4 linked regions of the Notamacropus eugenii genome follow. The protein of the gene in region 4 purifies or fractionates together with the protein of the main gene of each other region. This does not show direct contact. Links are inferred from orthologs where the notes say so. Each region holds a gene or a part of one and is shown on either strand. Other genes may lie near its edges.

The links.
Region 1: the proteins of LSM4 (region 4) and PRMT5 purify together in Homo sapiens (co-immunoprecipitation; 3 studies listed by BioGRID and IntAct, with this or other methods). This does not show direct contact. The link is inferred for Notamacropus eugenii from reciprocal best matches to the Homo sapiens genes LSM4 and PRMT5.
Region 2: the proteins of LSM4 (region 4) and PATL1 purify together in Homo sapiens (co-immunoprecipitation; 4 studies listed by BioGRID and IntAct, with this or other methods). This does not show direct contact. The link is inferred for Notamacropus eugenii from reciprocal best matches to the Homo sapiens genes LSM4 and PATL1.
Region 3: the proteins of LSM4 (region 4) and SART3 purify together in Homo sapiens (affinity purification with mass spectrometry; 4 studies listed by BioGRID and IntAct, counting the BioPlex papers as one, with this or other methods). This does not show direct contact. The link is inferred for Notamacropus eugenii from reciprocal best matches to the Homo sapiens genes LSM4 and SART3.

What each region holds. Positions count from the first base shown.
Region 1 is NC_092878.1:10,218,849-10,226,590, reverse strand, and holds the start of PRMT5 (protein arginine N-methyltransferase 5), read right to left. Parts: upstream 3,002-7,742; 5' UTR 2,846-3,001; coding exon 2,739-2,845; intron 2,283-2,738; coding exon 2,164-2,282; intron 2,026-2,163; coding exon 1,940-2,025; intron 1,765-1,939; coding exon 1,630-1,764; intron 1,155-1,629; coding exon 1,042-1,154; intron 903-1,041; coding exon 853-902; intron 647-852; coding exon 483-646; intron 1-482. UniProt on the Homo sapiens protein: Arginine methyltransferase that can both catalyze the formation of omega-N monomethylarginine (MMA) and symmetrical dimethylarginine (sDMA), with a preference for the formation of MMA.
Region 2 is NC_092873.1:5,566,563-5,574,334, reverse strand, and holds the start of PATL1 (protein PAT1 homolog 1), read left to right. Parts: upstream 1-4,728; 5' UTR 4,729-4,864; coding exon 4,865-4,879; intron 4,880-5,460; exon of another isoform or gene 5,461-5,644; intron 5,645-7,772. UniProt on the Homo sapiens protein: RNA-binding protein involved in deadenylation-dependent decapping of mRNAs, leading to the degradation of mRNAs. Acts as a scaffold protein that connects deadenylation and decapping machinery.
Region 3 is NC_092875.1:23,491,002-23,498,007, forward strand, and holds the start of SART3 (squamous cell carcinoma antigen recognized by T-cells 3), read left to right. Parts: upstream 1-3,974; 5' UTR 3,975-3,989; coding exon 3,990-4,283; intron 4,284-7,006. UniProt on the Homo sapiens protein: U6 snRNP-binding protein that functions as a recycling factor of the splicing machinery. Promotes the initial reassembly of U4 and U6 snRNPs following their ejection from the spliceosome during its maturation.
Region 4 is NC_092875.1:67,410,591-67,417,990, forward strand, and holds the start of LSM4 (U6 snRNA-associated Sm-like protein LSm4), read left to right. Parts: upstream 1-4,277; 5' UTR 4,278-4,887; coding exon 4,888-4,890; intron 4,891-5,035; exon of another isoform or gene 5,036-6,409; intron 6,410-7,337; coding exon 7,338-7,379; intron 7,380-7,400. UniProt on the Homo sapiens protein: Plays a role in pre-mRNA splicing as component of the U4/U6-U5 tri-snRNP complex that is involved in spliceosome assembly, and as component of the precatalytic spliceosome (spliceosome B complex).

The sequences.
Region 1 (7,742 bases), on a different chromosome or scaffold from region 4:
AGGAAAAGGGCATCAATGAAGAGGGGCCTAAGTCATTCATTTTATATATCCTAAATCAATCCCCAAATAATTAGTACATGGCTTTAATATGTTTAATGCCCACTTGGCATCTCAAGGCAGCTCAGAATACCTCATAACTTTTTGCAAATAGCAAAATATACTTCAAATATACTTCTGGATCTCAGAATCCCAAAAGTGAAAACTGGGGACTGAGGAAACAAAGGAGAACAATATAATTCCTAAGTTGGTGCTTTATTATTTAATCCTATGGAAATATTTCCTTTGAAGATGGGTTCCATGAAAAGTTAAAAGTTTCCTGTGCCACATTTTCCCTTTATCTCTGGACCCCTTCTGGAATTAAATATGAAAAGAGAATTGATCTAAGGGGAAATTTCAAACACTCATATAAACAAGGTAGAGAATCACTAGGGAACTAAAGGATGAACGTTACAACTCTTCACCCCAATGTATACCCTTTTTACCTTGAGGAGCCGGAAGATTAATCTCTGGTGCACCTTAGAAAGGACAGGAAATCCCTTCTTATTGGTCAAGAAGATGCTGGTGGGAAGGATGGCTGCTTTGATTGGCTCCCCAAGCCATCGGTCAATAATATGACTGGATGGGAGATCAGCACCAACTTCAATAGCTATAGTATGGAAAGAAAGATCTACTGAAGCCCAAACAGGCTTTCTTATCTGGGAGTCTATTACAATCTAGCTATGTAGCAGCCTGCTATAAAGTAAAAAGAAGTTACCCAAAGTCTCAAGCTAATCTGAAGCTTCACACCATGACTTCAACTCACATGGCGGAGGGGGGAAAGAAGCTCTAGCTATGGCAGCCTGCCACACTCACCCACTGCAATCCTCTTGCTGTAGTCACACAGGGTACGAAAGTTATGCCACCTGACCAGAAGAAAACAGAGCACAGGGCCTGCCAATCATTATACTCCTTCCAGCTGTCAGTCACTGTCCCACAGCCTCTAGCCCATTCTTCTCCCAGCCCTGGTTCTAATCTTCTGCAATAACAGAGAGAATCACATACCACATCCATGTCTTCTCCTCCCCAGTGTATGCCTCTGTCCGTTGAAGAGGCTCATTCCCAATGACATCATCCCGAAGGTCTTCTGCCGCCACCAGGGGTACCCGTATCCAGAACTACATGGAAAGAAACTTATTACCCTTGCCTCCACAAAGTTTTCTTTGATTAAAATGAAAATGATCCCAAACCAGTGCTACACCCTTTAGAACCAACATGTTTTTCTTGTTTCCTGCAGACTTAAGTAGGTAGTGCTACTTCATGGAGACAATGCCCATTTGTATGTTTAGGCTAATATCTATTTGTCTATCTTGTCTTCCAATTCAACTCTATGTTTTCTGAGACAGAAATAAATTCTCTTTATTAAAAGGATTCATTTTTTTAGTAACAGTATTTGTTTGATATATCCAATAACTGACTGATCAGCAATCCTAGGCAAATATAGAAGAACAGCAGGGTTCTTTCCAATCCATTTTATGCCCAATGTATTAGGTAGCCTGGTTTGGGATAAAACAGTATTAAATACAACCCAACCACAGCACAACACTGCCCATTCATCTTCTGGGTCTGGGGAGGAAATCACTTAGGTCATACCATGGAAGAATGATGGCCTGTGTGAATGTGATTGGTCAGAACTCTGGCCAGGTTAGTGTTATCTTCTTGAGTGAGAGGTAGCAGGAAAGCTGGAAGCCCCAGGTATGCCCCAAAATTCAACTCCTGCAGCATGGCCTGGAACAGAGACCAACACAGACAGATTAGTCAATGATGTCCCAAATGGCTTCCATCCTTGCGGTGCGAGACAGAGCTGACAGCAAGGTGTCCCAACAGCCGCTGAAATGTGGTCTGCCCCAGGTGGCCCCCAAGGGTCCATGACAGCCACAAGGCATCAGCCAAGGAGCCTCACCGCCTCCGAATTCCTTCTTATCTTCTCCACTCTGGAATCGGGGCGGATCCATGGTGACAGCTTCCCCACAATCAGGGTATTCCAGTCTGCATGGGCCAGGAAAGACAAAAACAGGAGAGGGGTGAGGACGTGAGCCCGCTTCTGCCCCTGGCATGGGGCACCACAAACCCGGGGCGTACGAGGGGCGGGCAGGGCTCAGACAATGTGGGGGGCGGGGCTCCTACCCCGTCCGGACAGCAGCAGGTCGGACCGAGTGTGGGGCCCGGGGCGGCTCTTGGCAGGCTCCTGGGCGAATTCCCTCTTGAATCGGGGGTGGAAGACGGGCATGCAGAGGAAATCAAAGCTGAGACAAAGACAGAGGACCCGGCCCGTACATTAGTAAACCCACAGCGGCCCGGCCCACGTGGGCCGGACCAGCGCGCACTGCCCACGCGCCAGGGGGGCACGGGGGGGCCTCGATGCCCCCCAAAAGGGACTTCGTGGGAAGGAGGAGAGGGAAAAGGCAGGACCCCCCCTCCGGCGGCAGGGCCGGCCCCCGTGGGATCTCGCCCCTGGCACGGGTGCCCCATGCCCCAACTATCGCCGGATTGCCCGCACACCGTGCCAGCCCGCTCCCAGCCTCGGCAGGGGACACGTGCGCCCGAGCCTCTCCACCCACCCCCATCCGCCGCAGAAATGGTCTCTCCCACCACGGTCCCCTCCCCCTCCCCCCGGGGCTGGGAATAGTTTCTCCCACTCCATCTCCCAGAAAGCGCGCGTCCCACCCCAGAGAGGAGGGAAAGGAAAACGGGGCCCTCACCCTTGTTTGGCCACGGCCCCCAACGTATCGGCCACTTCGGGGACGCAGTTGAGGTCCCGCCCGCTGGACACGCGGCAGCCGGGGGCCCCAACTGCCACCGCCGCCATTTTCCCCCTCACGTTGTCTCTCCAGGACCCCTGGCTCGCAACAACCAATGGCGAAGCGCAGAAGAAGCCGGGTTTCCCCGGTAGGCGGGAGGAGTCTCCTTAACAACCCGAGCGTCTCCTTGCACTCAGCGCCGCGGGGTAGGCGGGGCGAGGTGTGGGCCTCCCTACCAATCAGGGGGCGGCGCCGTGACGAAAGACAAGAGACCTGGAAACCTACCAATCCGAGGGCCCCGTTTGTCCGCCGAGTCTACTTCCCGTCTCGTCTTAGGGAGAACCCTTGAAACAGGTCCAAGCGAAAAACTACATCCCCCATGAAGCCCCGCGGCATGCTCTTGAACACGGGCCGCGGCCAGAGCTTTTTCGTCCGAGGGCCAGTGGCGCAATGGATAACGCGTCTGACTACGGATCAGAAGATTCCAGGTTCGACTCCTGGCTGGCTCGTTGGGAACGGCTCCTCTTTATTGCTCCCTCGGGAGGCATCTTCTGTCCTCTCGGTCTCCGCTGTTTTCCTGCGGTCCCTTATGGATCATGGACGCTTCCTCCGTCTGCTCTTCCAGCACCATAAGGGCCTTCCGAGCGAAGAACGCGGCCTCGGACTCTACTTCACGGTAGACCCCGCCAGGCCCGCGCTCCCTGGAAGCTTCCAGCGGGAGAGGAGGCAGGGAAGGGACGTGGAGGCCGTGTCTGCTGCTCCCGAAAGCTGGACCTCACGCGCAGTCACGGAATTCCTCCGTCCGAACTCCCCAGAAGAGAGTGGGTCCAGGACCTACGTGGGCGTGCCCCGCGGCCCGTGGGCACGTCGGGCCGGTGCCCCCCCGGTGTCCCCCCAGCGTCCTGCGGGTCGTCCAGGCTGCCCTCCCCCGCGGCCAGTCCTGGGGTCTGCACCTTGGACACCGGCCTAGCCCCGCTCGGGCAGCTCCAGGGGCTCCCCGCGACGCGCAGGACCGGGCAGGAGGCCCCCGCGCCCCCTCGCGCCCCGCTGCTGGCCCACGACCCTCCCTCCCCCAAGCGCATCTTCTCTGGCTGCCTCCCCTCTGAGGCGATCCCCAGTGTGTCCTGCAGGTATGGTGGGTGTGCATGCACCCCCGCTCCTCTACATGTCCACATCCACACGCGTGTGCGTGTTGGTGGTGGTCTGCCTCACTCAGAGCAGGGGCTGTTGTTTGCCTTTCCCTGGATCCCTAGGACTTCGTACGACAGCCTGGAACCCAGGAAGGGCTTCGTAACTGCTGACTGATTGCGTCGGTGCGTTCTCTAGACATCTTGTTTAAAGGATCAGGTGTAAAGCTGGTGAAAGTTTGTCTTATCTTATCCATTCTCCTCATGCCAGTCAGTGTAATATTAACGATATCTCGTGCGTTCCCTGTAGACTGTACGCTGCCCTGGTGTCACTTCCAGGAGAGCATCTGATGAATTACAGACCGATGGATGACCGGTGTTATCTCTGCCTCTTGGAAGACTTACAGAAGGCAAATGGATGTCTACTAATGGAGGAATTTCTGGCATGTTGGTATTTGAGTGGGAGGAAAAGTTTTACATGGGAGAGTCTTCCTGATGCCCTAGAAATCACACCAGTAAGTAACTTCCCATCCTCCCTGCCCTGCCATCTCACTGTATTAGGTTCCAGTTCAGGGAGTCAGGAGATCTTGGTTTGAGTATGTCACTCACTACTAATGATGGGGCTCAGACTCTGGGAGCCTCCTTGAGCTCCCCTTGAATCTTCCCACTTAATCTGGCCTTCCTTACTCAAGTCTAATCTTCGCATTTGTTCTGGCAGTCTCCGGAAGCCCATGGGCTTTTCATTATCTTTCTACTCTAGTCTCCGTTGCACCACCCCCCCCCCCCCTTGATCCCATCAAAACCCCATTCCCCTGGCTGCTGACCACTCCCATCAAGATCTGTATCCATTCCCATACTGCCCCTAGATCTGTATCCATTCCCATACTGCCCCTATCAAGGTCTCTGGATTGCCCCACCTGCTTCCCACCCAAACCCACACTAATCTGATATCTCCTGATAGCCTCCAGCTGATTCCAGCCTTTGACCCTCCTTGGATTCCCTCCTTGGACTTCTCCTCAAGACCCTCCCTAAACACCTCCTCCCATCACCCTGGACTACCAGACCACCCCCAGATCCCTCCTACACTCTTTTCTGTATTTAAGTTCCATCTTGCCTCCATGAAGGCGCTCAGATTCAATCCAGCTCAGACTCTGTCTAGCTGGGATTCTGTCTGGCCTGCTTGTGAATACAAGCTTTACAAATGCTTAGGCGCCTTAAGAGGCAACCCAATTTGGTGAATCTTTAATAAACTTTGTTTTCTTTGGCTTTAAGAAGGCTTGAGTAGAATTCATTCGAGCACGACCCGGACTGTCGGTATCTTGGGGTCCACAATCACCCCTCAACCTCGTCACTATGTGACCTTTTTCAAGTCCCTTCACTTCTGAGGACTTCAAATGACCATTAAGTGCTATGTATACATCATTGTGCTAGGTGCTGTAGGAGATAGAAAGTTTAGAAAAGACCCAAGGCCCAGTGGCACCCACAGTCTAACAGGATCCATAATAGTAAGATCCATACTCAGGAAATTGAAATACACAAGAACACTTGATAAATAAAGTTTGCCCAGTGATGTGAGAGAATGAGCACTGAGCAGGTTATCCCTGACACATGGAGAGCCGAGGGAACGTCAGGGAAAGGATGACTATTTAGTTGGGCTTGAAAGAATAGGAAAAAATTCAACAAAGGAGGAGAGAAGGCATTCCTTACCTAGGTATTGGCCCAGGCAAAAGCAGGAAAGGCACGTATCCTACGGTATTTTGGGTAAGGATAAATGGGAGATGGAAGAGCACAGTTTAGCCAAAGTAACAAAATTAGGCCAGAGGTCTTCTCAAAGTCTCCCGGACTCTTAAAATTCTAAGAATGACAAGAACCTCATCAGACTATTTTATTGTATTCCCCATGGCAATAAATACCGTATTCAGAACTGGGCGTATTCTTGGACTTGTTAATTGATTGATTGCATAAGAGGCTATATAGAATTAACCTAGAACATGCCCCTTACTATCAGCTAAGCCTACGGTTACGTAAGAATCAGAAAGACACAGTAAAGAGCACTGATTGCTTCCATCTTTGTTTTTTGGGGAGACTTTAGGTTTTTTAATCAATTTTCAGTTGCGTATCCTTCTATATTCTGTTTTAAAAGGATGAGGGGAGAAACATTTCTTTTTTTACCTATAGAATTGTAAGGAATGTAGGACTTTGAATTGTGAAGATGGGCTGAGATAGGGAGAAAGAAGAATACAGTGGAGTGAGGAATGCCTTTGAGGAAAAAAAGAGTTTATCTCAGCCCTACAAAAATGGGTGGAAAATATGGATGCTTCATCGCCTTCACTGAACAGACTTACAGAATTTCAGAGTTCAAAAAAACCACAGTGAGCTTACCAGAAAAAGAATTCACTTGATCACTTATCCAACAAGTTGACATCTGGCTTTTTCTTGAAGAACTCCAACAAGTGGCATCCATAGCTTCCTGAGGCAGACCTTTTCACTTTTAGATAACCTCAACTGTTATAAAAATTTATCTTTGTACAATTTTTCACTCAGGATCTCATCCACAATAATTCTTCATTTGGTGTCAATTCTCTCCTCCATATGACATCCTTTTAATTACTTGAATATATCAATCATGTTCCCACAAAATCTTTTCTTCTCCAAGTCAAACATTTCCAGTTCCTTCAGTCCCCATGTAGTATGAACTCAAGGTCTTCACCATCCTGATTGTCCACTCTGGACAATCTCCTGAATATCAATATTCTTTCAAAAATGTGGCATCTCTAACTGAACACAAATACAACAGATGTTTGATGGCCAAGTAAAAAGGGATTGATACTTTCGTATTCCTGAAATTCATACCTTTCTTAATGTACCCTAAAATCATATTAGTTTTCCTAGCCACTATATCACATTATTGATCCATATTGCACTTGAAGTCCACTAAAACTTCCAAACCTCTTTCAGATGTTCAGCCTTGCCTCCACCATCTTGCATTTGTGAAGTTGAATTTTTTTAACCCTGGACATAGATGTGTTCCTATTAAATCTCATCTCATATGATTTGACCCAATGTTCATACCTGTTAAGACCCCCTAATGGGTTATCTATCTCTCCTAGCTTTGTGTCATCTGCAAATTTGATGAACACATGTTTCTGCTCCCAAAACACATCATTGATAAGAATGTTAACATGAGACCAACCACAGTTCCTTTTTTGATTTTTTTTTTTATTAATTGTCCTTTGACCAATACATTATAGAAAATTGCTAGGGATTAAAGTCAGGCTCACTAGCCTATAATCTGCAGACTATTTTCTTGCCCTCTTTGAAAATCAGAGCATTTGTGCTTCTCCAATTTTGCAGTTTTTTATCTTGTTTTTCCTATTCTCTGTGATCTTTCCAAGCACACCAAGAATGGTTCATCAATCACACATCTGCCAGTCCTCTCAGTACTAGAGGATCTGGGTCAAATGTCTTAGATCATTAATGGTAGGTAGGCAACTCCCAGTGTGGAAATTCCCTGCACCGATGCAGTTTCACAGCTCATTAGTAACTTAGTCTCAGAATCATCTGAGTAAGATGATACATTAAGTGACTCCTCTGGGCCCATGGCTAGTGTGAGTCAAGAATTCATTTCAGATCTTTGTAACTCCAAGTGTGGCCCTATACCCACACTGCTTTTCAATCTTTTCCTCCCTCCTTAGTTACCTTGAACATCATCTTCCTACTGGATATATTGGCTCTGCCCTTTCCAGCTCAAAGATAATTGTCTTTGGCAGATAAAACAGAAGCAATATAAGAACTGAGCTTTGCCTCCTTCCTCTTTCTAGTTATCGTTTACTCCCTT
Region 2 (7,772 bases), on a different chromosome or scaffold from region 4:
CTTCAGTGCAATGCAAGGACTTAAAAAATTCCCAATGATCTTTTAAGGCAAAATATCTTCCACATCCAGAGAAAGAACTATGGAATTCAGTTGCAGAATGTAGCAGAGCATTTTCTTTTGTATTACGTTTTGGTTTGTTATATGATTTCTCCCATTCATAATTTTTCTATGCAACATAACTATGGTGAAAATGTATTTAATAGGAATGTATGTGTACAACCTATGTAAAATTGTATGCCTCCTAAAAGAGGGAGGGGGGAGGTAGGAGGAAGAGGGAGGGAAAAAGTATCTAAGTTATATGGTAGTGATTAAAGGACATCTCGTCTCACTGGTCCTTGAACAGGAAACACTTTTACAACATTGACATAACATAGCCATTCAGCCTCTGTCTATATATACTCAATAATGGGGAACTCACTACATTTATTCCATCCCCTACCTCCATGCTTTTGCATGACTGGTACCCCCTGCCTGAATTCCCCCTCACCTCTCCTCTGCCTCTTAGAAATCTTTGTTTACTTCAACAAGTCAACAAGCATTGATTAAGCACTTACTATGTACCAAGAATCCCAGAGGCTACTAAAAAAGGCAACAACAGTCCCAGCTCTCAAGGAGTTCTCATTTTAACAGGGGACATAACATGCAAACAACTATGTGCAAACTACGCACACATACACACACATACATATACATGCATATGATGAATTGATGAGGGGTGGGGAATCCGTACCTTCAAGGTCACATGTGGCCCTCTTGGTCCTCAAGTGTGGCCCTTTGACTGCATCCTGGGACATCTCCAGTCATCCTGATGAATATCTGGTCACTGGATTCAGATGGCTGTGGAGGAGAAGTGAGGCTGGTGACCTGCACAGCCCTCCCTCACTCCAAACAAAGTCAAGTGCAAGTCATGTCATTATTTCTCTGATGGCATGGTCTTCTTCAGCAATGAAGGACAAAGTGCCACCTCCTTCATGAAACCTTTCTTGATTCCTTCCCTCCCTGTAGCAGTACCTAGTATAAACAAGTATGTTTATCCTGTGGGAAAAAAAAATCTTGTATTTACTTTGTAGATAGTTTGTGTAGCTTATGTATTAGGTACATTGTTTCTCATGAGAAAATCTAAGGAACTGTTTCATTTTTTTGTAACCCTAGCACAGTACTTGGGTATAGTGTTTGCAACATTCTTGTTGAATGAAATTGAATGACAAGGGTAGAGGTTGAATGGAGGTTGGAGTTAGATGCCATAAGGGAGGTAGCAAACATCCAGAAAGGGAAGCAGTTATTACAAAGCGCCAGCATGACTTCATTAGGATGACTTCGATTATTTCCTTCTTTATTTTTTTGATAAGGCCACTTAACATCTGATACCAAGGGAAGGCTGTGGGTAAAGTTGTTAGATTTTAACAAAGCATTAGATAGAATGTGTCATGTTCTTCTTATGGAGAAGACTAAGAGACTTAGGCTAGACCATCCTAGAATTGCCTTCAGAACTGTTCAGGATTGTGAATTGGCTTTAGAATCATTTGAAGAGCAATTAGACTTGATCAGTTTGGGGCCCAGAGAACAGAATAAGGAGCAAGGGCCAGTGGTCAATTGAGGGAATGTCAGGAAAAATGTCCTAACAAGAACAGTTGGCCCCAAGTGAAATGAGTTACCTCCTTGGGACGTGTTTAGTTCCCTCTCATCAGATATTTTCACCAAAGGCTTTTCAGGAACAGTAGAGTGGACTTTTCAAGAAGCAAAATGGTTTAATGGATAGGGCATGAGACTTGGAACTGAGAGGACCTGAGTACAGGTCCTGCATCAGACATTTAGTGGCTCTGTGATCCTAGGAGGGTTGATTGATCTGTGTTTAGGTTTCCTCACCTGAAGGTGAGGTGGACACAGTGGCCTCTCAGATCTCTCCTAGCTTGAAATCTTTGATCCTATGATCCTTCCATGTTGGATTAGCTGGCTCCTGTGAAGCATCCAACTTAAATTCTATGATTCTATGTGTGAGGAGGTATGGGAGGGGAACGTTGCATATAGGCTGAATGGACACTTTAGAAATTATAGGCACAGAATTAAGTGCACAAAATGAAGCACGCAAACAGGTTTGTATGCATACACATATGTATGCATTTGTGTATTATATCTATATAAAATTATTATATATGTATGTATATATTATATGAGTGTTCATATATAGGAAAATTGATATAGAGATCTATGGTCTGCAGATCTATATAGAATTATATATTGTTCAATTGTGCCTGACTCTTTGTGACTTCATTTGGAGCTTTCTTGGCAAGGATACTGGAGTGGTTTTGATGAGGCAGAAGAGTACTAGAAGTAGATGGAGCAAGCAGGATGCAGGATATGAGATATGAAATAAAATGCAGGGTACGATCGACCAAAAAGTGATCAAAGAAAACTAGGCATTGAAGCCCCTCACCACGGATTTACCTGTGTGCTTTCACAAAGCACCCCCAATTCCAGAACAACTCTTCCCTTTCCCTCCTCTATTGTCTTTGCTTATCTGTATGATAAAGCACCTCAGGCCTATCTGATATCCCAGGCATTTTGGAGCATGGCTTGCTCCTCCCATTCCCTTGTCCTCTTTTCCTCTATTCCATAAAATTATACTTAAACCAGACACCGAATCCCAATAACCACTTTTGCCTCCTATGAAGAGCAGGGCCGCTCTGCTACCTTAGGTGAGTAGGACTTGCCACCTATGCTCTGCCTCCCCTGAGTTTGACAGTATCACCCCAATAAATGCATTTCTTTAACTTGGACACTGAGTGAACTCTTTCAAGGCAATAGGACCCACACAGCTACTCCTCATCATTTCAGGTGATTCTTGGGGTGCAACCTGAACTCATCAGTCCTCCATTTTCTTCTCCAGCTCATTTGATGGATGAGGAAACTGAGACAAACAGGGTTAAATGACCTGTCCACGGTCACACAGCTAGTAAGTGTCTGAGGCTGGGTTTGAACTTAGATCTTCCTGCCTGCAGGCCAGGCATTCTATCTACTGTGTTACCTAGTTGCCCCCAGATCTATATATTGTGTCCCAAAAGTCTTATCGAAGTTTAAACTATTAAAATACAGACTGGCGTTAAGATTCTTGGCACAGTCTGCAGAGCAAGGAGGTAACCTTCATGCCAAAAAAACCATAGGATTTAGAGATGGAAGGACCTTAGATATCTGGTACCACAACCCCCTCCTTTTACAAATAGACCCATTGACCAAGGTCAGCAAATGATACATATATACACACAAGTACATACGTATACATTGGAAGCACAGTACGGTGGGAGGAGGTCTGACTTGAGAGTCATGAGGGCTGGGTGCTAGTCCCAGCTGTGTCACTCACATTGCTGTGTGACTCTGAGCACATTACTGGCAAACTTTAAAAGCACTAGATAAATGCTAGCAATTGTTATTAGCGCCAGAAAAACAGTCATCTTACACCTTTTCTGATGCAGTTATCATGTAGCATTGAGAAATCTAGTGATCTATGCGCCTTACCTGCTCCTAAAGTGAAAACAGAAGAGAGGGAGGGAAGGTGGAAGAGAGGAAGGGAAGAAAGAAGGGAGAAAGGGAGGGTAGGAGAGAAGAGGGGAGGAGAGGGAGGCTGGGAAGGAAGGAAGGAAGGAAGGAAGGAAGGAAGGAAGGAAGGAAGGAAGGAAGGAAGGAAGGAAGGAGAAAAAAGAAAAGAAGGAAAAGAGGAAGGGAGGGAGCGCGGTTGGGAGGAAGCATTTATTAAACTGCCCCGGTGTGTCAGGCCCTGTGCTAAGTTCTGAGGACCCCAAAAAGGGCAAAGTGCTGCGGCGCCCCAGGAGCTTAATGAATGAGACGGGCACCGCCCCGCCCCTTCCCTGCCCGCGCGGTGGGCACTGTGGGCGCCGGGAGCAGCCGCCCCGGGAATCCTGGATCTCTGAAGTCCCGGACTAGTAGAAGCCAATGACCTCCCCCACCCCACCTCCACCCTCGCCGCGGTTCAAAGCGGGAAAGCCCGGGGCGAGGGGCGGGCAGGGTGTTGGACGGCGGGACCCCGCCTGCTCCATTTAGTGACTCTCCGGTAAATTTGGGGTCTTCAGCGCGCGGACGTTTCCTAGGACGGGCTAGAAAGTAAAGCAGTCGAGGGCGGGGGGAGTTGTCCTCGAGCCTCGGGGCAGTCCCCAGCCCAGAGCGCGGGCTCCGTCACACCTGCGGGCCTCAGGGTTTGTTGATGGATTGACACAACGTTCATGGAAGGGGCGGCGGGGCTAGGGAGAGGAGGAATGGGGTGTGGGGGTCTACGGGCCCGGACGCCGGCAGGCCGAGGCCGGCGAGGACTCTCAAGGTCAAGGGGGCAAGAATGCTGGCCTCCAAGTCGGCCCCTCGGGCCACTATCTGGTGATAATCACAAGGACTTCCCCCGCGGACAGATGCCTCGTGACCCGAGTGCCCGCCACGCCCCAGACGTGGAGCCAGCGCCAGTACCAGGGAACACAGCCCGAGGCCAGCCGGGGGTGGGGTCAGCCGCGCGCAGGGGCAGAACTGAGCTCTGGGACTTATTTGCCGCTGTCCTCAAATGACTAACGAGCGTCAGATAAGTCCCCGCGCAGCCGCACGAGCAGGGAAGGGCCCTTCCTCTCCCCTTGCCCTCGGATTCCCCGCGGTACGGTGCAGCGCGCCTGCGCACGCCCCTTCGCACGCTGGCACGCAAGAGGCGTACGGCGGCGGCTAGGGGTCGCGAGCCGCCGGAGGAGTGGCGGGCGCGCGCGGAGGAGCCCGGGGCGTCGGACGCGTCTCCCCCCCTCCCCACGCCTCCCTCCCCCATCCCCCTCCCGCTCCGCCTCCTCCCCCCCTTCTCCCTTCCCCCTCCCCCCCGACGATGTTTCGCTACGAGGTGAGCGCGGGCCACCGGAAGTGGCCCCCCGGGAAAAGGGGGGAGGGGGACAGAGGGAAGGGGGGACCCCCTCCCCGGGAGGAGTGAGTCGGGGGAGCGGGAGAAGCTGGGCCCGTTACTCCCGTTACACCTACCGAGCGACGCCCGGGCCGGGAGCCGCTGCCCACCGGAGACCGGGGGTCGGGGAGGCTGCCCTGGGGCCTAGGGGAGGGGTCTTCCTCTATAGACTTCGGGGGCTCCCCTTGGACCATGAGGGGCTCCCTCTGCAACTTTAAGGGAGTCCCACTGTAGCCTTGGGGAGCTCCCCCGGGGCCTCGGGGGCCCGTCTGTAACTTTGGGGGAGTCTCTGCATCTTGGGGACGCCCTCGGGGTCTTGGGGCTTCCTTTCCACTTGGCGGAGTTCTCTCCTGAGCCTGGGGTGGGGCCGAGATGAGGGCCTGCCGCTTCCCGGGCTCCCCACCTCTCGGAGGAGCCCCAGGGGGTCGGTGCTGGAGGTGCAGCAGGCCCGGGGGGAGGGGGATGACCGAGAACAGCGCCTGCCTCCGGGCCTCGACCTGGCTACCCAGAGGCCGAGGTCTGGGGCGGTCATAACCTTGACCCAGCTCACAAAGGCCGGAGCCGCCCTCTTGCTGGAAGGCACCGATGATGCCTCTAGGGGAAGCTTGTCTGCGAGCCTCTTAGGTGCAGGCTGCCTTTGGCTTGGAGCTTGGGGTGTGTTTCTATTGCCGCTGCTGCTGCTGCTGTCCTTAGAGAGAAAGGAGAAAGGTTTGCTTTTTGACTTTAATCCCTCCCTTAGGTTTCGGGCAGGAGCTACCTAGACCAAGCCTACCTTGCCCTGAAATTCGGAGCAGGGAGCTTTCTCCAGGACTTTTGTGGGATAAAGAAGGAACCTGAGATCCCCCAGGAGGTGGGGAGGTGGGGAGGTGGGGTGCGTGTTCATCTCCTTCAGTAAAGAGACAGCCCAGACTTGCTTTTTTTGACATTGTGGGAAGAGCCCTGGTCTTGAAGTTAGAAGGGGATTTGAATCTTGCTACTTAATTGCAACTTGGGCACAAGAGTGGAATCAAGCACTAGAAAGAGCTTTAAGGAACATCTACACATCTTATTTTACAAGGGAAGAAACTGAGGCCTGGAGAGGTTAGGTGACTTAGGTGCTAAGTGATGGCAGAGTTGGATTTGAATTCAGGTTTCCTTTCTCACCTTTCATACATTCAACAAGCTTTTATTAAATTCCTGCTATTGGGAAGAGCATTGACTCAGGAAACAGAGGACCCTATTTTGTGTGACATTGGGCAGGCCTTTTCTTTTCTTGGAGTGTTATTTTCCCCATCAGTGACATGAGGAGGTTGAAAAAGCCTTTGATGCCCCTTCCAGCTCTAGACTTGAGCCTATGTGCTGTTCTCTGGAGATACAAAAGTAAAAATTAAACATCCGCTGCCCTTGAGCTTAAGTGCAAATACACACATGTAGTAATTTCTGATAGTGGTGGGAAGGATCAGGAAATATATGAATGAGGTTAAACTTGAGATGAGCTTTGAAGGAGGGTGGAAATTCTGAGAGGTTCATGTGAGGAGGGAAGACTTTATTTACACAGAAAATAGACTTGGTAGGCCTCAGTTTCCTTCTATATCCAGTTGTAAAATTCTGTGATTCCTAACCTGGTGACTTTAAGCAAAGCGATCATAAGCTCATATATCTAGAGCAGGAAGGGACTTCAGATCATCTATTCTAAACTCCCTCATTTTACAGATGTGGAAACTGAGGCCCAAAGAAGTTAATTGACTTGCACAAAAAACCCATCAGTAGTAAAAAGGCAGAGTTGGAATTCAGGTCCCACGTCCTTAGACTCTAAGACTGTCATTCTTTCCACTGTACCACATTGCCTCCCTCATCTTTAAAATAGGGAAATATAGAGCCTCTTTCCCTTACATTCCTCAGCTTCTTGAACATCTCTGTGTTCTGTGATTCTAATGATAATTAGTAGTAATAGTAATAACACTTTGCATTTATATAATGCTTTAAGGTTTGCAAAGTACTTTACAAATATCTCATTTGATCCCCATGACAACCCTGGGAGGTAGGTGCTATTATAATTCCATTTTACACATGAGGAAACTCACAGGAAGAGATTAAATGATTTGTCTGGGATCACAGTGTTAGTAAGGGTGTGAGACAGATTTTGAAGTCAAGTCTTAACTGACTCCAAGTCCAGAACTCTGTCCACTGCACGAGCTAGCTTAGAGAACTGAGTCACAGGGCATAGTGCTAAACCTCTGGTTCATTCACCCCACTAGAATTAATAAGAAGTCTCCATGGAGCCTTGACATCAGGTTTCCCAAACGGCACTAACTTCTGATGGACTTTTGATGACTGTGGAAATAAAGGGTGGGAATAAGTTGGCTGTTGTCATTTTTTAAAAAAGCAGAATGAAATAATTAACAGAGAACAACAAAGTAGGGGAAAAAATTCATATGCCATGCAATTGTGTTTGTGCAAGGCCATGGACATGATTTATCAAGATGTGCTTTGTTAGAAAATGGAGTGAATTGTGAGTCTGAAGATTTGCTATAGAGGCATTTCTTTTTATTTCCCAAGTTAGGGGTGAGAGAATGTTGGGAAATATTTAAAAGAAAGGAGTGATAGATTGAGAAAGAGATGAGCATGGTGGGAAATCAGTTTATAGGGGAAAATACCTAAAACTCAGAGCCAGAAATGTAATATAATTAACTTTCAATTCCTTTTACTACTTCAAACAGATAAGGAAGTTAAGAATTAGTTTCAGTTCTGACATATTTGTAGCAGTTGAGATTTAAGAAGAAATCCCTTTACTAGATTTCTGATGAATCATGTGAAATGATGCAGTCAAGAAAATATTATACGCATTATAAATATA
Region 3 (7,006 bases), about 44 Mb from region 4:
AAAGAGGGAGTTGGAGCAGGCAGCCTCCAACGGCCCTTGCAGCTCTAGATCTTTTCTCCTGGAAAAAGAAAACTTGATTTGGAGTCCAAGGACTTGGGTCAGATTCTGAGTCTGACCTCACTCAAGCAGACCACTTCTTCTCTCTGTGTCTCAGTTTCCTCCTCTGTAAAATATAAGATGTCCATGGACTATGCCAGGGGCTCTTAACTTTCTTTGTGGCATGGACCCCATTGGCAATGAGTCTGGTAAAAGCTATGGATCCCTTCTCAGAATGTTTTTTAGTGCATAACATCATATTCGTGATTACAAAGTAAGTCAATTATATTGAAATATATATGTATATGTGTATGTATACATATATACATACATACATACATATATAAAAGTTCAGGAACCTCAGGTTAAGAACCTCATAAACTGTTTGATTTCTAAGGTGAGCCAATCATTAAGTGTATATTACATACTTACTGTGTGCCAGCCACTGTGCTAGACACTGGGGATGCAAAGTCAAACCAAACATTTTCTGTCCTCAAGAAATTTCTGTTGGGGAAAACTCTATAGTATGTATGTAGCAGTGGTGGTGGTGGTGGTGGGGAGCAGTGAGCAGGGTTAGAGTGGGCCTTTAGAGGTCAAGTCCAGCCCCCTAATTTTATAGATGAAGAAACAGGCTCAGAGAGGTTAACTGAGTTGCTCAGGGTCAACCAGCAAGTGTCTGAGGCAAGATTTAAACCTGGGTCATCCTAGGTCCAACACTATCCCCTGTCCTCTGCTGCCACTGTGAATCTCCTTACTGACTCATTGCCTAGATGGGTTTCCTGGTATAAACCTTTTCTTTATATTCTGGTGAGGTGTAACAAATGAATCTCTAATTCTGCTTCTGTCCCTCTTCCCCTCCTCTCTTTCTATTTCTATCTCTCTCCATCCTTTTTCTCCTCTTTCTCCCTTCCCTTCACCCCTCCAAGCCCCTATCAAGGTACAATGCTTTTCCAAACACTCATTTTTAAAACTCTCTCATCCAGGAATGTTCTTCTCTTCCAATAAATATACTCACATGAGCAGTGCCTGTGTTTAGCACTTTAATGCTTTAAGGGTCCCTCTGAGACCCTTTCCCTGCTTTGCCTGTGTTATGGTAGATACTTGGTCATCCGTATGTCTTCTCCTCCATCAGACATAAGTCAAAGTGACTTCCTGGAAACAGCCCTCATGTGCAGAGGGAAGAGCTAGGGGCGTCCCGAGGGAATCATTTATTATGGCCCATTCTTTTCATTTACATTCACATAGCACAATTTGTTGAGCCATTGTCCAGATGATGAACATCTACTTTGCAGCTTTGTGCTAACCCCCAAATGCTGATGTCAATATTTTGGGGTGTGTGGAGACTTTCCCGGTGGGATGGCTGCCGTTATGGAAGAATCTCTGGGCATTTTAGTAACTTCATTTGCTTAATTCCAGACTGGTGGCATGGATTTGCAGCTTCAATAATGCACTAAAGTACCGGTTGTCCTGAAACCCCTCCAGCATCGACTCTTCCCAACTTTGGTCCTCTGCCAGTCTGTCGAGTGGGAAGCGAACCTTCAGTTGTCTTGATTTGCCTTTCTTATTCCTAGTGATCTAGAGCATTCTTTCAGGTCGTTAGTAATAGTTTGTTCTTCTTTTGAGAACTCTTCCTATCATTTAATCACTTTTCTGTTGGAGAGGGCTGTCTCACAAATCTTGCTGCAGTTTTAAGCTTTAGCATCTCTGTTATGTTTAGAGCCAGAAGCTTTACCAGCTTGTTAATACTACCATGACTTGTGGAATAGCGTACGTGTATATGTGTGTTGTCTAAGTATCTTGGATGCCACATATTTTCCTGTTTTACCACTTAACTTAGATATATTTTGTTTGTGCAGGTTTTCAATTTTATATAACATTAACGTTTTTGATTCCTTCTGTCAATTGAGAAGACATCTTTAGCTGGAAAAGGTCTATGATCCGTTTTCTTCTAAGTTCTTTCCAATATGATCTTTAATATTAAAGTCACACTTTCAGTTTATGCCTGACAGTTTGCAGTTTTTGTTGATGAGGGAGTTTTTTCTGAACTAATTTATGTTTTCCAGTTTATTGAACCCTGGGTTATAGTTTCCGATTCTCCTTTGTCTATTTTTCCATCAGTACCAGATGGTTTTGATGACTGCTGCTTTATAAAATAGATTGGCTCTTCATCCTTAACTCTTTGATTTCCCTTGATATTATATTGTTATTTTATCAGGTTCTGTAAAGTGTTCTTTTGATAATTTGATTAACATGAAAATTGTAAATTAATTTTTGTATTACTGTCATTTTTATCACATTGACATGGTCCAGCCATGAGCATTGAATATTTCTCCAGTTACTTAAGTTTTTATTTCAAGGAGCACTTTGTAATCGGAGCTATTTATACCAAGTCTTTTGTGTGCTTTAGTAAAGTGATGCCTAAATACTCTTGCATTTTGTAGCTTCCTATGGCTCTCATGGAACTGGAGTTCCCCTTCCGTTGATAGGCAGGCCTGGTGGATTCTTTCTTTTTAGGGCTGCCAGGGGCTTGGCCTAGCTTTCTGCAGTCAATGCCAAGCTTCCTTTCCAATTCAACTAGGGAAACTTTTTCATACTTCCTAAGTGGCAACAGAGCAGTAGATAGGCTTTTTTTTCCATTTAGTTTAAATTAATATTAACACTTCACTACCTCAGTTATCTGCCCTTTACTTTCTTTGACTAAACATGACCTGAGTTTAGGGAAATGTCCTGACCAATCCTCCTTACACATGTATGTGCATTTGTATATGTACATATGTGTGTATATATAAATACATTTATATACACATGTACATACATATATACATGTATAGAGTGGGAAAGAGAGTAGTGTGTGCGTGTACATCAAGAGCTAGGTGGAGCAATGGATAGAGCACCAGCCCTGAGATCAGGACCTGAGTTCAAATCTGGCCTCAGACACTTGACACCAGCTGTGTGACCCTGGGCAAGTCACTTAACCCTGGCTGCTTCCAAGAAAACTTAAAAGCTTCCCGAGGCAGGCGATAAACTGAGAAGGTGTATTTGGTCCCCTGCATGGCCTTGGCCTTTCTTTGTAAGAGGAAGCGCCCTGCGTCTGGCTGGGTCAGCCTGGTCTTTAATCACGGTCCCTCCATTCCCTGACCTGGCAGGTGACACCAGGCATCAAAAGGGTCAAACGCAGCACTTTCCACATTAAAAGGGAACAGCCCTCGCTGCCCTGCCGCATTCGCACTGAACTTCTAAGGAAGAAGTGAGGACGGCAGGCATGCCAGGCACGGAGGAAGGTCGGTGCAAAGGTGCGGAGATGGGAGACGCGGACAGCCACCAGGCCCCTTCCAGCAAGCAGCCCCACGGTTCCGGACGCGGGCCGTACTGAGTCTCTAAGGACTAGTCATTTTAATTAACGAGGACAGGTGGGGTGGGGACTTGACTCGTTCCTGGTCACGGGGCTCGGGCTGGGCAGTTTCCCCCGCACCAGGCCCCGGGTCGGCACTAGGACCAGCCGGCGGCGCGGAGCACGGGCCGGCGCGCACGCGCGTCAGAGGGGCAGCGCGGGCTCGGGCTCCAGGGCGCACCTGCGGCAGCACGCGCCCCACGCAGGTCTAGGGACCAGGAGGTAAACCGCCCTTGTCCTTCCCAAGATGGCGCCCGCCCCTGCACGTCCCGCCCCCTCCGCCGTCCCGACCTCCTCTATGGCCCCCACTTCCTGTCCAAAGGACCCCGGAAGCCTGCCCCTCGTCGCGCCGGGACGGACGCGGAGAGCAGGGGTCCCTTCTCGCCCGAGAGGAGGCTGGCTGGGTGAAGCGCCCCACCGAGGCCGCCCAGCCCCTCGGCAGCTTCACAGCCCGGCCTGGCCGGACGGTGACCCGGCGCGGCCCGGGCAGCCTCGGCGTCAGCGCTGACGTCACGGCGTCGTAGGCGTCGGGCTCGCGGGGAAGAGACGCGGGCGGCGCAAGATGGCGGCGGCAGCAGCAGCGGCGGCCGCTTCTGGGCCCCGGGCGAAGGCCCCGGCGGCGGGGGCGGGGGCCGCGGCGGCGGAGGAGGCGGAGGACGAGGAGACGGCGGCGGCCTTGGCCGTGGCGGCGGCGCGCGGGCGTCCCGAGCCCGAGGCGCAGTCGGAGGACTCGGGCGGGGGCGGCGACGGCGGCGACGAGGACGAGGACGAGGACCTGGGCTGCTCGTCGGCGGAGGAGGACGACGATGACGAGGAGAAGGAGAACGAGGCGGAGATCCAGCGGCTGGAGGAGCAGGTGCGCCGCGGGGGAGGGGCGGGGGCTGGGGAGGGGGTGGTGCGGCGGCCGTTGTGGGACTGTTGCTCCGGAGCCTCGCGCACGCGCAGTGGGCCCCGCGCGCCCGCGCGCTCCAGACCCACGTGCGACAGACCTTCTAGGCGAAGGACGTGGGGAGGGGCGGGCAGAAACGGGGTCCCCGCCCTCGAGGAGCTCCTCCTCCGGTGGGGGGACCAAACCGCATACCCTTGGGATCAGCGGGACGAGAACGACCTATCGGAGACGAGGGGGAAAAAGGGAGGGCAGGCCTGGTAGGGGGCACGGCCGGAGGGCAGGCCTGGAGTCGGGAGGAGGGTCTTGGGTGATGATGGAACATCATCCAGTAAGAAGACTGGAAAGGCAGGAAGGGGCCAGGTTTACCAGCCTAGGGGTCGGTAATGTTCCAAGTTCTAGTCCCAGCAGCCCCACACTCCCTGCGGCTCGGCTCTTTAGAAGGCTGGTGTGCTCGGGGTCGGGGCACTCCCACGGCCTCGGCCTCTTTGGCCCAGGGAGGAAGTGAAGACGTGGGGGCCGTCCAGTGTGAATGTAGAAGCCACCAGGCGCTGGAGGCTCGCGCTGTGTCCCCTGCAGGGCATTGTTGTTGCTTTTGCGTCCTCTGTCTCTGAACACGCCCTCGTCCTCCTCACCTCGCCTACCTGCCCCTCCTCCAGCAGGCTGGAAGAAGGCCGGCCACCGTGCAGCCTGCATCTCAGCCCTTCCAAGGTCAAACCTGGCCATTCCAACGCTCCTAACCGTTGGGTGACTGGTCTCGGACCAGTAGATTTACATTATGAAGCGAGTTGAGTTGATGGGGAGCTGACCCTGCATGGGAGGCCTGCCACGTCCGAAGCCGCTGGCCCGTGCAGGGCTCTCCCTCCGCCCCAGGCTGCGCTTACCTGCCCTTTTATCCAGGTAGCCTTGGGCCTCTAGTCTGTGTGCTCCGGGCTTTGCCTTCCTAGCTCTCCACTCCTCTGGTCCTTCCCGTCTCTGAAGACAGTAGACCGCGATCAGACACTCCGGGACAGGCTTCCTGACAGACTGGGGGAGCTGGACGAGACCTCATCATTCATCTGTTCTCGTTTGTTACATGTTACCGAAGGAGCACGTCGGTGTTTGCGGAGAGTAACAAACCTGGCAGTGTTCCAGCGGCGTGCGAATCCAGCCCAGCGCAGTCAGCAGCCTTATTGCCCTTGGCTGTCTGACCTCCCTGCCCTCTTGATGAGTTGGTTGGACCAATGAGATGTTTCCTTCCTAGAGTTCCAGGGTACTGTCCCTCTCCTCTCAGGCTTGAGCAGGAACTAGCTTGGTCAGAATTCTCTCACCCGTTGGCTAATTCTTACCTTCCCATGGCTTTAGTTTGGCTGTTGACATGGCATGAGGAGGTCCAAGGAGAATGTACATGTGCTTACTAGTTAGATGTTGATGTGTGTGGTGTGATCATGGTGCCTCATTTTAATGAATCTCAAGATGGCCATCTCTCATCGCATCAACACAGCATCCCAGATGTGGAAGGGAGGGATCTCCAAGGGAATGTGGTCCAGCCAACCTTGTTTTGCAGGGGAGGAGGGACCCAGGGAGGAAGGAGCAGAGCCAGGATGTGACCATTGGACCACACTGTCACTTGTCATGTCCATCTACACAGAGACCTTTCTTGCTCTAAAATAGTCATAGATGTTGTAATTAATTTAAAGAGACCTGAAATTTTAGGAATGAGAAAAATTGAGTCTATTGGTGATTTTCCTAAGGCCGTATGTGTATATCTGTCTGCATACATAACAAGGTGGTGGTAGATCCAAGGACCTCCCCAGTCATACAGGAGTGCACCTCATATACCACCTCCCCATCCCATTATATAGTGAAATGAAAATGACTGTGGACTAGAAGACTGAGATTGAATTCTGTCACCACACTGAGCTGGTGAGTCTCCTCTCTGTAGTGGACCCCGAAGAAGCTCTGGATTTTTGAGCCCTGAACATCTGGTTTCCGATCCCAGCTCTGCTCTGAGTATCTGTGCAGCCTTGGCTAAGGCACTTTACTCTGGGCCACAGCTGTCTGCAAAGCAAGAAGATGGCACTAAATGACCTCCAGAGGACTGCGATTGTAACTGGCTCTGAAATGTTACTATTTTAAGTTTTATTTCTAAGTTTTTGTGTATCCCATCAGGAGAAAATTAAGTAGAGGTGTGATTAAAAAAATTATTGCTTTATAAAAACACTTCTGATTTTGTCCTTACGAGCCATGGCTTTGTTGCTGTATCTTTCAGTGAGAAACATCAGTTTATATTTGTACAGCACCTTTTTAAAGAACCCTGTCATATTTCCATCCCTCTAGAATTGAGGAGCCTTTAACACTGAGAGGTCCCATAATCTGACCAGTGCTGCATAGGCAGACTGAGCTGGTCTTTCCTAATCCTCCCTGCTGTGGCCTCGCTGACAGCCAGGCTGCTTTTTTAGGTTCAACAAGGTCAAGCTGGGTAGGGCTCATTTTTCCCAAATGTTATCATGTGGTCATTATAATGAATACCATGATATGTTGGTTCTTCCCCCTGGCTGCAATGTGCTTTTTTAATTATAATGATAACCATATGATTTTTAATTTGAAGTTAAAAGCTCTCCCCTAGAAGTTGTTCCTGATGCTTGTTACTCTGAAAACTTTTACTTTTATTCTTTGTAAAGGAACTCTGGTTAGTTCCAGGCCAGTTGTTT
Region 4 (7,400 bases):
CCAGGGGATGAGCAGGACAAGTCTAATGCACATGACAACTCTTGACATACTAGAAAGCAGCTCAGCCCTGCCAAATCTTTTCTTCTCCAGGATAAAATCATCTCCAATTCTTTCAGCTCATCCTGGGATCTCCAGTGCTCTCACTATCCTGGTCATCCTCCAGCTTATTCATGTCTTTTCTAGAATATGGGCTCCCCCAAAAGAAACATAATCTTCCAGATGTGTCCTAACCAGGGTAGAAGGCAACAGGATCATCACCTGACTTGCTTGGTACACATTACACCTCTCTCCACTTAGCCTAGGGTTTGGGGCTCATTTGGAACCCACAGATCCCATTCCTATAGTGCCCCTAGGACTTTTATCAAACACTTCCCTCACTAAAACCTTGGGGGGGGGGTCAGAGTGGGACACTTATGGATTCCATTCTACATAAGGGGGAACTGAGGTCCAGGTTAGGTAAGTGACTTGAGGGTGGAAGGTCAAGGCTTCTGATCTGGAGTTTTTCCTCTCCCAACTGCCCCTGTAAGAGGGAGTGTTCAGGTCAGGGAGCAGGCTGAGCTGCCCCCTCAGAAAATGTGGGATAGAGGGTCTGTCTTCTCCTCTCTCAGGCTCTATTTTCATATTTCTTACTGAGTATGGAGCTTTGAAGCTATATTGGTGACCAGAAGAGTAGAGATAAAGGGATAGATGCAAGAGGTGCTGTGGAAATAGAAGCAACAAAACTTGGCAACTGATTAGCTATGGGGGATAGGTGAGAAAAAGTCATCAAGAATGACTCTGAAGTTATGAATTGAAGTAACTGGAAAGACGGTGGTACTCTTGATCCAAACTATAAAGCCTGGAGGTGGGGCAAATTTATAGTAGGTGATAATCACTTCTGCCTTAGATATGTTGACTTCAGATACTAAAATAACACCCAAGTGACGTCCAAAAGGTGGTTGGTGATTTGGGAACAGAGTTAAGGAGAGATGTTAGGGTTGTATATATAGATCCAGGATCACAGAGATAACTGAATTCAATGGAGATAATATATAATAAAGAATGTGAAGAGAAGGAACTCGACAAAACCTTGTGGGACACGCATGCATAGGAGACAAAAGGTGATTGATGATCCAGTAAAGAATAAAAAGGAACAGTCAGATAACTTAGGACCAGGTGAGGGCAGTGTCAGGGAAGCCAAGAGACAAGAGGATATACAAGAGAGGAGTGTTCAAAGTAGCAGAAAGGCTAAAGAGGAGGATTGGGGAAAGGATGGTTAAGACAATGTATATAAAGCACACACAAAATTTATACAAGGTAGTTTGGGGAGGAGTGCTCTAGCAGTTGTGGGGAACTGGAAAGGACCTTCATGTAGAAAAGGGTTTTTGAAAGCTGAGTCTTAAACAAAATCAGCATATTGTTTTATACGTGTTAGTTCTGTCTTTAGGCTTGTAAATGACATCTCCTCAAGTAGACTGTAAACTCCCTGAAGACAGAGACTGGATCTTGTTCATATTTAAATATAGATTACTTTGCCTTGCACATAGTAATTTATACAATGAATTAATTTGCCATTTTTCTTCATCCAAACAATGAAAGAATTTTTGCACACATATTAAAAGGTTCTACTTCAACAAACATAAAGCATCCATTAACAAGACATGGTCCTGCCTCATAATGTTCACAGTGTGGTCCAACGTATGTGCAAATAACCATGATATAACATGATACTTAAGATGCATGCGATGCAAATTAAATGTAGTGCCAGATCTAAGGAGGCACAACCAAAAGCAAGGATCATGGAAGATGTGTAGAGGTGGCATCTGAACTGGATTTTAAAGCATGTAGGATTTCAACAGATAGAAATGGAGACATATTTCAGGCAAAGAGAACAGAATGGAGATGGGTTTTCCGTTGGAAAAAAAGACAACCAGTTTTCCCTTGAGAGAATAGGAGATGAAAATAAAGTTGGAGAATCTCTGAGAACTATGTTTACTCTACTCCCTGAACTTCTTGGAGGAAAACTGCACCTATATTATATGTCAAACTATCCAGTAAGGAAATTCAAAAGCTTTTTAAAAAACTGAACGCTAGAGGGCACATGTTACTTGTTTGTGAACGGTGTACAAGTTCTCTGTAGGGCAGTTTCAGAAATAGTTAACTGTAGAGTATCTTTTGTGAGTAACTTTATTCTAGTACAGAGAAAAAGTAAGACAATCAAAGCATCTGAAGACTGAGGTCCCACAAACAGAGGAAGAAAATGGAGCCTGAGAGAAGAGGGGGAAAGAAAGGGAGACACTGGGACTATGTGGTAAAAGCACAATAAAGGAGATAGCCCAGGGTCACTAGGAAATTCTATTTCTGTAAACCAGTGTTAAAATCTACTCTTAGAACATCTTGTTTTCTTTGGTTGTTTTACTGTTTTATATTGTTTTACTTTTGCCTGTTCTTTTAAATTAAGAAAAAAAACCTCTTGGTCCAATCTGTTCTTTCCCTAATACCAGATTAATCTTCCACATATGGTCAAATTCCTTTAAAGTCATCCTACTTAGTGGATACTAAGGTCTTTTCCCCTTTCTTTCCTTTATTTGAATGACTCACATATTCAGTCAGTTTAAGGTTATTGATGAACCTGGATAAAAAAAGACTTTTAGAGATGGCAATAGGAGATTCTAAGGGAAAGGACATTAGCAGTTTTATCATTTTGTATAGGGGAGATGGCACTGCAGGACCATAGAACTAGAGATTGTCCCCATCCTGCCTGAGAAAATTCATATACAGCTCCACCCTTCAGTTCTCCTCTCATCAGAAGAGCAGATGAGTGCAGAACTTGGGGTAGGCTATAGACTAGCAGTTCAATGGGTAAATGATTCTGGGGATTTAATATACATAGTGGACCTTAATGGTTGCTCACTTAAGGGTATGTGTTGTTTTCTTTAATAATTTTTCTCTGTAATATTGTGAATTATATGCATGAAAGTGAGGAGTCATTCTTAGACTACTAGGGAGTTCTAATGATACATTTTCCTGATGAACACTATCTGTAAGTGGACTCAGGACTTTCTTAAGTTTATAATACAATCAAAGTTTAAACTGTTTTGAGACCCTTCACAATTTGGTGGCACCCTGCCTTTTTTAGCCTTAGCTCAACTGTATCCTGTGTTTCTGTCAAACTTAAGTACTCCTGATCTACTCCTCTCTCAAGTCCACATTATTTGCTCAGGATTTTTCCACCTGTGTGCTCATGTTATTCTGTTCCCTCTGTCTGAAATACCCTCCTCCCCATTGCTCCTCATAATTCGAGCCCCTCTTTAAAGCTCAATCCAAATGTTGCATCCTCCAAGTCATCCACAATCTCTTTGGTGGTTAATTTCCTCATACAGCATTATGCACTTTTCTCATGCACTTGTTACACAGTTACATTTATCATATAGTTACAGTTATTTGGACAACGAATTGAGCATCCGAAAGAAAATTACCTAGTCACACTTGCTCATTTGACAGATAAAGAAAATGAGCCACACAAAAACTCTGACTTGCCCGACAGCTATCAGAGGGCAGAGCAGAGATCCAACCTTAGGTGCTGATTCTAAATTTAGTGTTTTTTCCTCTTCCAAATATTTGTGTTAGAACAAGGGGCCATGTCCTAATTAGTCACTTAGCCTCTCTGGACCTCAGTTTCCTCGTCTGAAAAGGGATCTATAAGATCTCTTCCAACTTCCAGAGTCCAGGACAGTACTTCTCTACAGAAAAAGGTGGGATGCCAGTTCAAAAAGAAACCCCAACCATTACTAGTGTTTTAGGGTTTGCAAAGCACTTCACAAAATGCTCTGGTTTGAGCCTCACTCAAATTAAACTCCAGCAACCTTAGAGTCTCGGACCTGAAAAGATGCTGGGACAACATCTCTGTATCGGGTTCAACGCCAACCTGAAGCAGGATATTCCCCGCCGAGCATCTCCCTCCCTAACCTTCCAGGCTCTAAGGGCTGCGGATTATTGGGAGCTCTTCGTGCTGAGCTCCAAGCAGACCCTTTGCCCCCAGGGCGGGGTGGCACGGGGACGGGCAGGGCAAGTCTATTCACCGGGCTAAGACCATCCCCAGCTCTTTCAGCTCCTCCTGGGGTCTCCAGGGCTCTCGCCTTCCCCGTCACCGTCCGGCAGGTCCATGCCCCTACCCCCCACTAAACCCAGCGCTCCAGGTGTGGCCTGGCAGCAGGATCGTCGCCCGCCGTGCTTGGCACAGCCCACACCTCCCTCACCTGGCCTAGGGTTTCCATGGCGCCTCTGAGGCTTCTACCAAACATTTCCCTCACTACAACCCTGGGCGTCGGCGTGGGAAGCCCAAGGATTCCATTCCCCAGACTGGGTAAGGGACTCGAGGGTGGAGGGTCACGGCTGGCCGCCAGGCTTATGTAAGAGGGGGTGCTGAGGTCAGCGAGCAGGCCGAGCTGCCCTCTCAGAAGACGGGTGGAGGGGCTGTTTTCTTCACTCTCTGCCCTCAGACACTAAGGGCGTCTCACAGATCCGCCTGGCCGACCCGCCTGGCCTCCCGTTTCCTCTCGAGAAGCCGAAGCGCACGCAGCCAACGACCGTTACCCACAATTCCGCGGGGCGCCCGCGTCTTTTCAGCACCCTACAGATTACTGCTTTACGGCAGTTGCGCGCCCGAGGCGCGGGGTCACTCTCCACCTGTCGGAGCTCTCGGCCTCTTTTCCCCGCCCCTTCCGCCGTTCGGGATTGGGCAATCTGTCAAAGGATCGGGTAGTGACTGGCTGGCGGAGACGTCAGCCCGCCCTGTTCGGTGAGGGGCGGCCTGGAGGGAATTCTGAGTCTTCCGAGCTACTGCGGCGGCGGCGGAAGTGACCGGAACAGCCCCGGCCCTGTCCCCGCCCCGGCGCGGCCGGCACTATGGTGAGGGGAGATTGAGGGAGACGGCACGGGGCGGCGGGGACCCACTCTGAGACTCAGTCCCCGGCCCTGGCACGGGGAGGGACAGGGAGGGGGCTGGTCCTCTGTGAGCCCGAGCACAGGGGGTGGGGGGGTGGAGATCTCACGTGGGCCGGGGCGCGGCGAGACTCCCTGGCCTGCCTTCCTCTTCTCCTCTCCGTCTTCCGCTCTTCTTTTCATTCCCCTCCTTAATGCTTCCTTCATCTCTCTCCTCACTCCCCCCTTCTCCTCCTCATCCCCGCGCTCAGTTAACTCCAGTGACTTTCTATCACCGTCCCAGTCTTTTCCTGGCATTCAAAGCCTATCCCTGCCATGTAGTCTTCTTCCGGCGACACTGACCCCGCATCCTTTAGGTCCCAGCATTTTCTCCCACGTCCCTCATGCCTAGAAAGCCTTCCCTCTTCATCTGTGTCTACTGACTTCACGCAAGTCCCTTTCCCCACTCATCTTCATTTTAGTGCCTTCTTTCTGTTAATGATTTCCTACTTATCTTGTATGTATGTGCGTATTTGTTTATTCATCATCTCCCCCACTGCCCTGTGAGCTCCTTGAGGGCATGGACTGTCTTCTGCCTTTTTTGTCTCCCCAGACCTTAGTACAGTTCCTGGCACATATTTACCATTGGTAAATGGTTCTTGACTGACTGATCCCCCTCTTTTTTCCTCTTCTTCATCTCCACCCATCCTTCTTTTCATGCTCCTCCTCTTCTCCTTCATCCTCCCCTTATCCGGCTTTCTCATCTCCTTTATTTTTCCTCTCCCTCTGTCATACCTCCCCATTTTACTCATCCTCATCTCCCCAGCCCCCGCTTCTCATGTGATGTCTCATTCTCCCTTTTCCCTTCCTCATCTTGTCTTCACCATTTCATCTCACAGCCTCATCTCTCCTTTTCTCCTTCCATGTCTAATTCTTACCTCTACTCGTAATCTCAGCATCACTTTGCTTCACTTTTTCTCCTGCCCCATTTTCCTCATCCTATCGTCAACTACTTATAGGACCTGGGCAAGTCCCTTAGCCACCTGAGCCCTAGTTTCCTTCTCTGTAAAATTATGGGTTAGGTTAGATTGCCTCTGATATCCTTTAGATCCTATCATCTTTCTTTCTCTTCTTCACCTGTTTGTCCTACACCTCCTCTTTCCCCTATTCTCTTATCCCTCATTTTCATACCTTCATTTTCTTTTTCATCCCTTCGTCTTCCCTCCCTGTCCTGCCTTCATTCCATCTTCATTTCTTTCTTCATTTTCTATTCCCCTTATTTTCCTCTCCAATTTGTCTCTTTCCTCTGTCTTCCCACTATTACTTCATTTTTCTTCTTACCACTTTTATCTCTTCTCTTTCCCTGTCTTTTCTCTCATCTCTCCTCAACAGTTTAACTTCCCTCTCTTACCCACCCCAGTCTCTTCCTCCTTCCACTTTGGGTTGGGGGAGGAAGGTAGGATTTGGGAACTTGCATAATCCAGCAGTTTTTTGATTAAAAAAAAAGGTAGGGCTTCTTTACTTCTTCCTATTTGGACTTCTATAAGTTCCATCTTCCCTTCTTTCCCTGTTCTTCCTGTGCTGGGTCTCCCTTGAGTTACATAGCAGCAAACATGCACATTTGGCCATCATAGTACTCTTACAGAAAACCAACTGGGGAAGTAGACTTTGGCCCATTTTCGTGTGGAGCAGTAGCCCACGCTCACCTATGATCCTTTGGAGGAGGTTCCTCAGAGCTTTTTTCCCTTTTCTTTAGAAAAACCCTCAGATGTTTGTTCTAGTAACATACTAAAATTAGAAAGTCCATGGTCTTCCTTCTCAGACATCCCCAATGGTAGCCTTGAACCAGAGATTGTCAGAACTGAAAGGACTCTTAGATAATATCTTCTCCAGCCTTCTAATTTTATGGAGGAAGAAACTGAAGCTGGGTGCCCAGGGCCACACTGATGGCTCCCATTCCAGGCCTGTTTATACTACTCAGTAGCATATGTGAAAAATAAAATCCATAGTGCAAAGTGGTATGAAATCTTGAATGTAGAAAAAAGTAACACTCCCTTGAAGGCAAAGTCCATGAAGGGATTGGCTGTTTTGCACATATGTCCCTGGGTTTTTAAGAAGAGGAAAAAGGTTTTAAGCTTTGTAGTGTCTGAGGAAAGGAAAGCAAAACAAAACACATTTAAGTTCATAGCCTCCTGAACTACAGTGATAAGGGGGCTTTATTGGTATTGGCTTCTGTGTCAAATACAAATGTAGCATTGTGAAAGTGGGAAGACTAGTGTCCAGGTAAAATCTCATTGGTTGAATCCTGAATCACTCCTTGTATCTCCACTACCTAATTGGAAAATGAGAGGGAGGGACTTGATCTCTGTTGGAAGAAAGACAAGCTTATGCTTTAGCCGATGGAATTCTCAGTTGTCTTTTGTTTGCTTTCTTAGTTGCCCTTATCCTTACTGAAGACAGCCCAGAATCACCCCATGGTGAGTAGGCAATGTGCTGGC